Oryza sativa Japonica Group: one gene and its partner. The protein of the gene in region 2 binds, or shares a complex with, the protein of the main gene of each other region. Links are inferred from orthologs where the notes say so. Each region holds a gene or a part of one and is shown on either strand. Other genes may lie near its edges.

Region 1 (3,770 bases), on a different chromosome or scaffold from region 2:
AAATAATCTCTACCGAAACAATATAATCCTACTTGAATTTTAAATACATCCAAATTAACTTTCAAACAAAAGGCAAACAGAATGTCAGTGCTAGTCAGTGGCTTTTAAGGCATAGGGGTAGTTTTTAGTATAGAATCACATAGTTCACAAATATATTAAAAACTATATTTAGATTATTGAGTATATTATTATCGCCATTATATAACCGATTATAGTGGTTAATTTAATATTTTAAGATAAAATATGTCTAAAATGAGTGGTCTAAGTAATACTCCCTACATGCCAAAATGGGTGTTAGGCTAAATCACTTCTAACGCAAAAGACCGAGAAATAATTTGATTATCGCATCGGTTAGATCACATCCGTACAGGCAAGCAGTGTGATTGGGGGCTTGATGGTAGATGGTTTAAAACAAACCAAATTTAAAGGACTAAGAGGTGATAGTTAATGTGCATGCATGCACACACACCTTATATTACAAGACATGGAAAAAAGTTGTTGTGCCGTGATGGAAGGACTACAGTATAAGTTTTTGTATTTTCAAAACATAATTTTCCAAACCGTGAATCAAATGATATGCTCTGATAATATAATGAATAAGCGTATTTTTTTAGTCTGGTGAAGAATAAACTTTTCGATTTACAATTCGGCCGAATAAGCCCAGAAAAACAGTAAGAAACAGATGTCTCGTTTGGTAAGACGCTCATTTTGCGAGAACACTCTAACCAGCTTTACTCTATTTTTTTTGGTGAAACCAAAATTGTTTGGTAAGTTATAACTGTGCTAAACGGACGAATATGAGGGCAAATAGGGGTTGTTGGCGGCAAAGGGCAAATACCTTCCCTCCGTTTCTAAGGGTATTCCCAACCCAATGTCTAGGATGATGTCCATAACATTATATAAGTTGCCACCTAGGATAAAAAATGATGTGGCAAGTAAATAAATGAGGAAAGAGAAGGAAACCATGTCTTGCATGAGATATGGTTTCTACACAAAATATCATGTAAGATAAATTGCATTAAATTGAAGTATGGAATAGTGGTGTTTATATTGAAAGAGTAGTGTCTAGTACTAATTTCTTGATGATGTAGAGTTTATGAAAACTATGTCTAGTGTTATGGGTTGGGACTGCCCTAAAGGCCAACCGTCCGAACAAGTTCAAAAACCCAGCCACCCAGGAGCATTTTCTCCAAGAAAATGGTGTTTCTACGGTTCTACTAGTAGTCTACTGGTACCAGTACAATTCATCATCAACAAGAGGTAAAGGACTCGAAGAGAGCGCGCGGCTTGGGCGAATCGCGCCAACCGAAGCCCACTGGCCCACCGCCCACACGACCGTTGGGAGCGCAGGTCCGGCCCACCTTTAAAAACTCCCGAAACCCACCCGCACGCCGACACCTTCTCTCCCCCGCACCTGACCCAACACGACCCATCGACAAACAACGCTCCCAAGTTCCCAAGCGCCGCAGCCCGCAGCCGATCCGCTCCACACTAGCCGTTGCCTTTGCCCGGCTTTTCCCCCCCTTTCCTCTTTCCTCTCCCCCCATCCGCCGCCGCCGCCGCCGCCGCACGGGAGGCAAGAGGAGGAGTTAAGAAGGTGAGGCGGATCAGGAGATGGCGTCGAGGACGGCGTCCAAGGACATCATCACGCTGCGGGGCTCCGCCGCCATCGTCAGCGAGTTCTTCGGTAGAAGCCGATCTCCGCTTCCGTTTCTTTTATTTTTTTTCGCCCTCGGCTCCTCTCACGCGTGCGCGCGCCCGATAGGTGTTTGATCGAATGCCTTTTCTCGTGTGGCAGGCTACGCCGCGAACAGGTGCGCGCTTCGCGCGGTTGCGGGTGCCAGGATCGACGGCCGCCGCTGCGCTGATGCTGGTTTCCTTTGAAAGAAAAAAAATATAAAAAACGGTTGCTGCAGATTCAGGGTTAATTTCTGATCCGGGGTGTTTTGTGTTCTTGGTTTGTGCGTGGCGCAGCATCCTGTACAACCGCGGGGTGTACCCGGAGGAGAGCTTCACCAAGGTGAAGAAGTACGGCCTCACGATGCTGCTGACGCAGGACGAAGGGGTGAAGACCTTCATCGCCAACCTCAACACCCAGCTCTCAGGTCGTCTGGCCTCACTCACCGGATCACTAGCCTGCCTGTCTCCATTTGGTTTCTTTTTTCTTTTTCTTTTGCTGCTGCTGATTGATCTTGCCTGTGTTTCCTGCGTTGCCGCGCGCAGAGTGGCTGGAGGCCGGGAAGCTGCAGAGGATCGTGCTGGTGATCATGAGCAAGGCCACCTCCGAGGTGCTGGAGCGGTGGAACTTCAGCATCCAGACCGACCCGGAGGTGGTCGACAAGGGTGTCATCAAGGAGAAGAGCGACAAGGAGATCATGAGGGAGATCCAGGCCATCATGCGCCAGGTCGCCTCCTGCATCACCTACCTCCCCTGCCTCGACGAGCCATGTAAGCGCCATTACCACCACCTCTACTTCTTCAGTGTTCAGTGTTCATCGCCTCTGCTCTCCCCCCCAATTCCTCCCAGCTCATCCGCATTCGTCGATTGATTGATTGATTGATTGATTGATTTTGCAGGCATATTCGACGTGCTGGCGTACACCGACATGGACGTCGCGGTGCCCTTCACCTGGGTGGAGAGCGACGCCAAGCTCATCGAGAATCCACAGATGGTGAAGCTGCATTCCTTCGACACCAAGGTGAATATCACTGAATCGACTCCGTTTCTTTTTTTTCGCTGCCTCTCCCAGATTGCTGACGTTACAGCGCCGTGTTCTTGCCATGGCAGATTCACAAGGTGGACACGCTCGTCTCCTACAAGGTCGACGAGTGGGACGAGGAGTAGAAGCCGCCGGTGGAGGTTGGAGCCATGAGGAGGAGACCCCCTTGCTAGTTTATTGCTGCTAGCTTATTTAGCTAGCTTAGCTTGCTAGGCGTGATGCTTGTGTGAATCGTTCGTTCATTCACGCCCTAGCCCTATCGGAACTCGTGTGCTCTGGGAGAATCCCTTTTCTTGTTCTTTACCGCATTTTGGGAGAATCGACTGTGTATCGCTGCTTCACCATGATTTTTTTTTCCTCAGCCTTTGAAATCCTGGGTTGAAAGTACCACTGGAGTTGAATGCATCGTGATCGTGTGCCACGATTTCTTCACTGTGTTGTTCAATTATATGTGTTGTTTCTCACTTCAGAATCTCAAAAGATTCAAGGTGTTTTGAAGTCATATGCTCTGTGAATAACAAAATGCACTTAAATTAAAAGTAATTCTGTACCATCTTCAATCTCAAGACAGCCGTATCCTCAAAGTTTATGTTATATCGACCACCGTTTTTCTTGTCAAAACTTGCATATTAAATTAGAAGTAATTTTGTACCATCTTCAATCTCAAGACAAAATGCACTTCTGCTGAATGAATTTATTCCAGCTTCGGAACTTCCAAGGCTGTTTGCAACAATCCATCAGAAATCTTACATTTTGCCAGACAACCTTCGTTGTCCGGACAAATTACACTTCTGATGAATGTATTTGTTTCCAGCTTCCAAGACTATTTGTGACAAATGTAAAACCCAGTATCAGCATGGGTAACAAACACATTGGAAACTAACTAACACCAAGATGCTACAGAGCTACATTTACATTTACATATAAACCAGAGGAACCCCAGGACCTGTTGGCAGCAACTAACAGGTCCTCATTTAGGCTGTAATCTTTGTACTCAGCCAAAGCACCTTGGATCTTCAGAGAGCTTGAATGATCATATTTCCAACTTTC
Region 2 (3,919 bases):
GCTGAACTATTCTTACTGCTTGAGGTTTCTGCTTGTTGCTTGCCTAAGCTTCAGAATAGATGGTTTTGTACTCTTTGGCACTTGGGGAACTGGTTCCCTGAAATAATCAAAGGAAGGTATATAAAAATTATACGTTTTTACAGTTACTCTTTTTAAAGAACTATTCAAAACTGTTAACTTAAGGGCACAGTAGCATACTCGGCGCATTCGTCATCTACGAAGACTTCAATGGAGCTTACACGAGTCGGCTGAACTGCTGCCCTCGATCCAACCTTCTGAGGAATCTGTTGTTCAGTGCAATACTATCATCAGTTCATTGATCATTACTGAACCGATAAACCTCGAGACATGTCGCAAAAAGGGACCTTTTGAAGAATTCTAGTGGCTTAGGGGAGAAAAAAAAAACCTTGTGTGATGTCCATTTAGCAGGCCTCATGTTATTTTCTTTGTTCCGATCTGCTTGTGATCCAAGGGTCTGCCAGGCCGTGTTGTTGCTCCTGGTTCTAGCAAGGCCATGACTAGGTAACGAATTCTCATCTGTGTAAACTGCAAGTGGCCTATTGACATCAACTCTGCAAATTTGCAACAGTATCAACACCAGTAAAAAAATTCCAGGTTCATCTAGATTTCTTTATACTGATTGCATGCGTATAACAAGTAATAACCTTTGCAGAGTTTTCACCAGGTGAGAGTTTTCTGCATGCTGGCCTCCTGCCACATCAAAATGCAACATTAGTTCACCCAGCCAGGCACTTGAAATTGATGTTAATCATACCATCACAGCAAACTTACTGATTTCACCACGGTTCAAGACAGTCCCAAAGTTGCGTACTGGATGATCATCAGTAGTTGTGTCATCCTGTTTCAACAGATAATAGAATTCATTCAGTGGGCAGTGGAATATAGATTAAAAATAGGGTACTAAATCAGCCTATGTACACCTCAGGATGTGCCTTCTTTTTGGATGATCTCTGAAGAAATGCCCTGTATGTAGTTTCCAACTTCTCCACAGGCTTTGCTTTCCTGACCAAAAAAAAAAAAGCCAAAGAATTTTACGGTTTAATATGCACCATTCCATCAAACAAAATTCATAAATAGTATGCTTTAGGTATTAAGGTGTAGGTAGAGCAGAAAATTGAGAAATTATATCATATCCCTCCAACAAAAAATAGAGAAGTCAGGAATACATGTTTTAATCTAGAACAGTTCATAAGCTTACTCCACAATCAGTTTAATGCATTTTAGTTATAATACATAGAGCTAAAATGGTGAGTGGGAATATGGAAGACTATACACCTTGCAGTCAAACAAATGCATAAATCGTATGCTTTAGGTATTAAGGTATAGGTAGAGTGGCAAGAAAAGTCATATCCCTCCAAAAACAAATAGAGAAGGTAAAAGTTTTCAGCTACAACGGTTCATAAGCTTACTCCAAATTAGTTTAATGCATTTTAGTTACTATAATTCATAGAACTAAAACAGTAAATGGGGATATGTAAGACTATATGTTTGTTGACTAAAAATCCGAAGAAAACAGACTTCAAATCTAGAACAGGAATTCTTTGTCAAAGGCTATATGGAAATTTAGAAGGAACTTATCTATTATCACTAAAAAATAATCTACTAGCAGACTAGCACTGAAGAAAATCCGCAACCTTTCTCATATCTGAAGAAACTAAACTACCAATCCCCCATAAAATTCTCACCTGGCAATACCAAGGTTAAAAATCTCATTAGCTTTCTTTAGCTTGTTCTTGGACTCCATTACCGACGCATAGGACAAGTAGTAATTGGTATGGCTCTGACCAATCTGGTTGGCCTCCAGGAACCTGAATATCACCTCGGAATCAGCACAATTCCCCGCCTGCATACAGATTAAGATCAAGCCAAACTGGATGTCAAAAGGAAACCAAACCAATCCAATCCAATCCAACCAATCCACCTCAGAACCAATCCTGAATTCATGAAACTCACATATTCCAGCCACACTTTGAGGTAGCGGAGATCGTTCTTGTAGCGGTCGTCGTGCCAGAAGGCACGCACGCACTGCTCGTAGATCACCACCAACCCGGAGCAATCCCCGCCTGTCGGAAACGACTCCTGAACCCATTTGATGCAGCTGCGTGTGGATTAAGCAGACAAAGGCATGCCATGAGCAGCAAGCTTGCGGAAACCGCAGAGAAATCGCCGACATGGCAAATCTTTCGGCTCAACCTACTACTACTAGTATACGAATCAATGAAACAAAGGGGAAATTGCTTACTCTATCCATGGTTGGAGCGGATCCTCGCCGCTGTATTCGTCGATTGCCTCGATCATTTTCCTGAATCAGTAGATCAATCAAACGTAGGACGAAAAAAAAAAGATTACCAGAGACCCGCCCCCAAATCAAGAAATCCAGAGCAAACCAAACCCAAGAACCGAGAGACGCGGGTGACGGGAGCGGCGGCGGTACCTCCGGGCGGCGAGGAGGGCGGCGCGCTGGGCGGGGTCGGCGTGCGCCTTGAGGGCGCGGTTGAGGAGGCCCACGTTGCGGCCGCGCTTCAGCGGCCGCACGTTCTCCTTGAACGTCTCCCACTCCGCGCACGGCGCAGCCGGCGGGGCGTCGCCGCACCCCATCAGCATCAGAGTCTCCTTGTCGAGCGCCACCACCGCCTCTTCCGCCGCCGCCGCCGCCGTCGTCGCCATCGCCGCCGCCATGTGTTCGTCCGGGCGCCGCTCCGGAGCCGACCGTTTGGGAGGAGAGATATTCAAATTGGAAGAGATTTTTGACCGTTGAGCTGAGGCGGATGCTGCTGCTGCTCGGGTTTATATAAGGTGAAAAAGAATTGGGCTTTTCATGAGTTGGGCTTGGAAAGTTTATGTGGGCCTAAAATTGTTGGATCTTGATTGCGTCAGCACTCACACGGCAGAGTCACTATGAAGAAATTCAGTCTCAGCCCTGTTCAGCTTGTCAGCTAATTAGCCGATAAATTCATAGATTAATTCAATATACTGTAGATTATGAAGTTAATTAATTATTTGGTTAGAAAAGGTTATCGAAACAATGCTATTGTAGAAAGATTTTTGAGAAATCATACTGTTAAAATTGTGGCCCGTCAATTCGCCGTGATGAATGAGTTTTGTTTTTTTTATGTTAATGCTGGAGTATATGTGTTTGTGCAAACATTACGCAGAAGTTTGTGATGATCAGTTGATCTTCACATGAACAGATTTAGTTTCTTAAATCACATGAAACACAAATTGTTCAGCTTTTTTCCCCAAGACCAGTTGCGTAGTTCTTAAAAGCATAACTCAAACTTGAGGCAAAGGCGCAAAGCTTCATGCTTGCTGAACTTTCTGTTTTGCCACGATTAAATTTCAGTTAAACTGATAGCACTCTTTCATATTGCACAAAAAGAACTCCAAACAAGTGCTCTAAATGTTCAAACTTCCATAATAAACGATATAATATGTCTTTGCTCTTCCATTACAATTGGTTACATATCTAGCAGGAAGCAGTAACAGGTAACTTAATTGGACTATGAACAGGCAACGAACACGCATAGAATCTCACAGCCTTCTCGGTGGCTGCATCTGTGAAGGATCCACAAGGCCTTCCAACACAACAAGCTGATCCAGCAGCGCAAACTTTTCATCCTCGAGAACGCTGGCTTCCTCTTCAGCCTGGCTCAATTGCTTGTCCAGCTCACCGTTCTCATCCTCCAGCAGCAGGTACTTCTTCCGTAACGCTCTGTATTCATCAGCTGGACCGAACTCTGGCACCGAATCGGGGGTTCCCCAATCAGATTGCGGAGCCGAATGGCGAGGTTCATTCTTGAAGGTTATCTTAGGGGCTTTCTTGGTCTTGCCGGATGTGAGTGGAACCTCCCTCCGCAGCAGCTCAGGTTCAGCTTTTATTTGGCTGGGAGGCAAGGGG

The links.
Region 1: mitotic spindle checkpoint protein BUBR1 (region 2) and mitotic spindle checkpoint protein MAD2 share a complex: the UniProt entries of both Arabidopsis thaliana proteins name them as parts of the mitotic checkpoint complex. The link is inferred for Oryza sativa Japonica Group from reciprocal best matches to the Arabidopsis thaliana genes BUBR1 and MAD2.

What each region holds. Positions count from the first base shown.
Region 1 is NC_089038.1:24,797,548-24,801,317, reverse strand, and holds mitotic spindle checkpoint protein MAD2, read left to right. Parts: upstream 1-1,393; 5' UTR 1,394-1,614; coding exon 1,615-1,687; intron 1,688-1,798; coding exon 1,799-1,814; intron 1,815-1,974; coding exon 1,975-2,105; intron 2,106-2,223; coding exon 2,224-2,448; intron 2,449-2,577; coding exon 2,578-2,699; intron 2,700-2,788; coding exon 2,789-2,845; 3' UTR 2,846-3,152; downstream 3,153-3,770. UniProt on the Arabidopsis thaliana protein: Required for the execution of the mitotic checkpoint which monitors the process of kinetochore-spindle attachment and delays the onset of anaphase when this process is not complete.
Region 2 is NC_089036.1:5,218,724-5,222,642, reverse strand, and holds the start of mitotic spindle checkpoint protein BUBR1, read right to left. Parts: upstream 2,783-3,919; 5' UTR 2,701-2,782; coding exon 2,456-2,700; intron 2,324-2,455; coding exon 2,264-2,323; intron 2,120-2,263; coding exon 1,975-2,119; intron 1,865-1,974; coding exon 1,707-1,864; intron 1,024-1,706; coding exon 942-1,023; intron 860-941; coding exon 793-859; intron 712-792; coding exon 666-711; intron 573-665; coding exon 407-572; intron 285-406; coding exon 199-284; intron 98-198; coding exon 17-97; intron 1-16. Other genes in the region: uncharacterized protein, read right to left, coding at 3,553-3,919. UniProt on the Arabidopsis thaliana protein: Essential component of the mitotic checkpoint. Required for normal mitosis progression. The mitotic checkpoint delays anaphase until all chromosomes are properly attached to the mitotic spindle.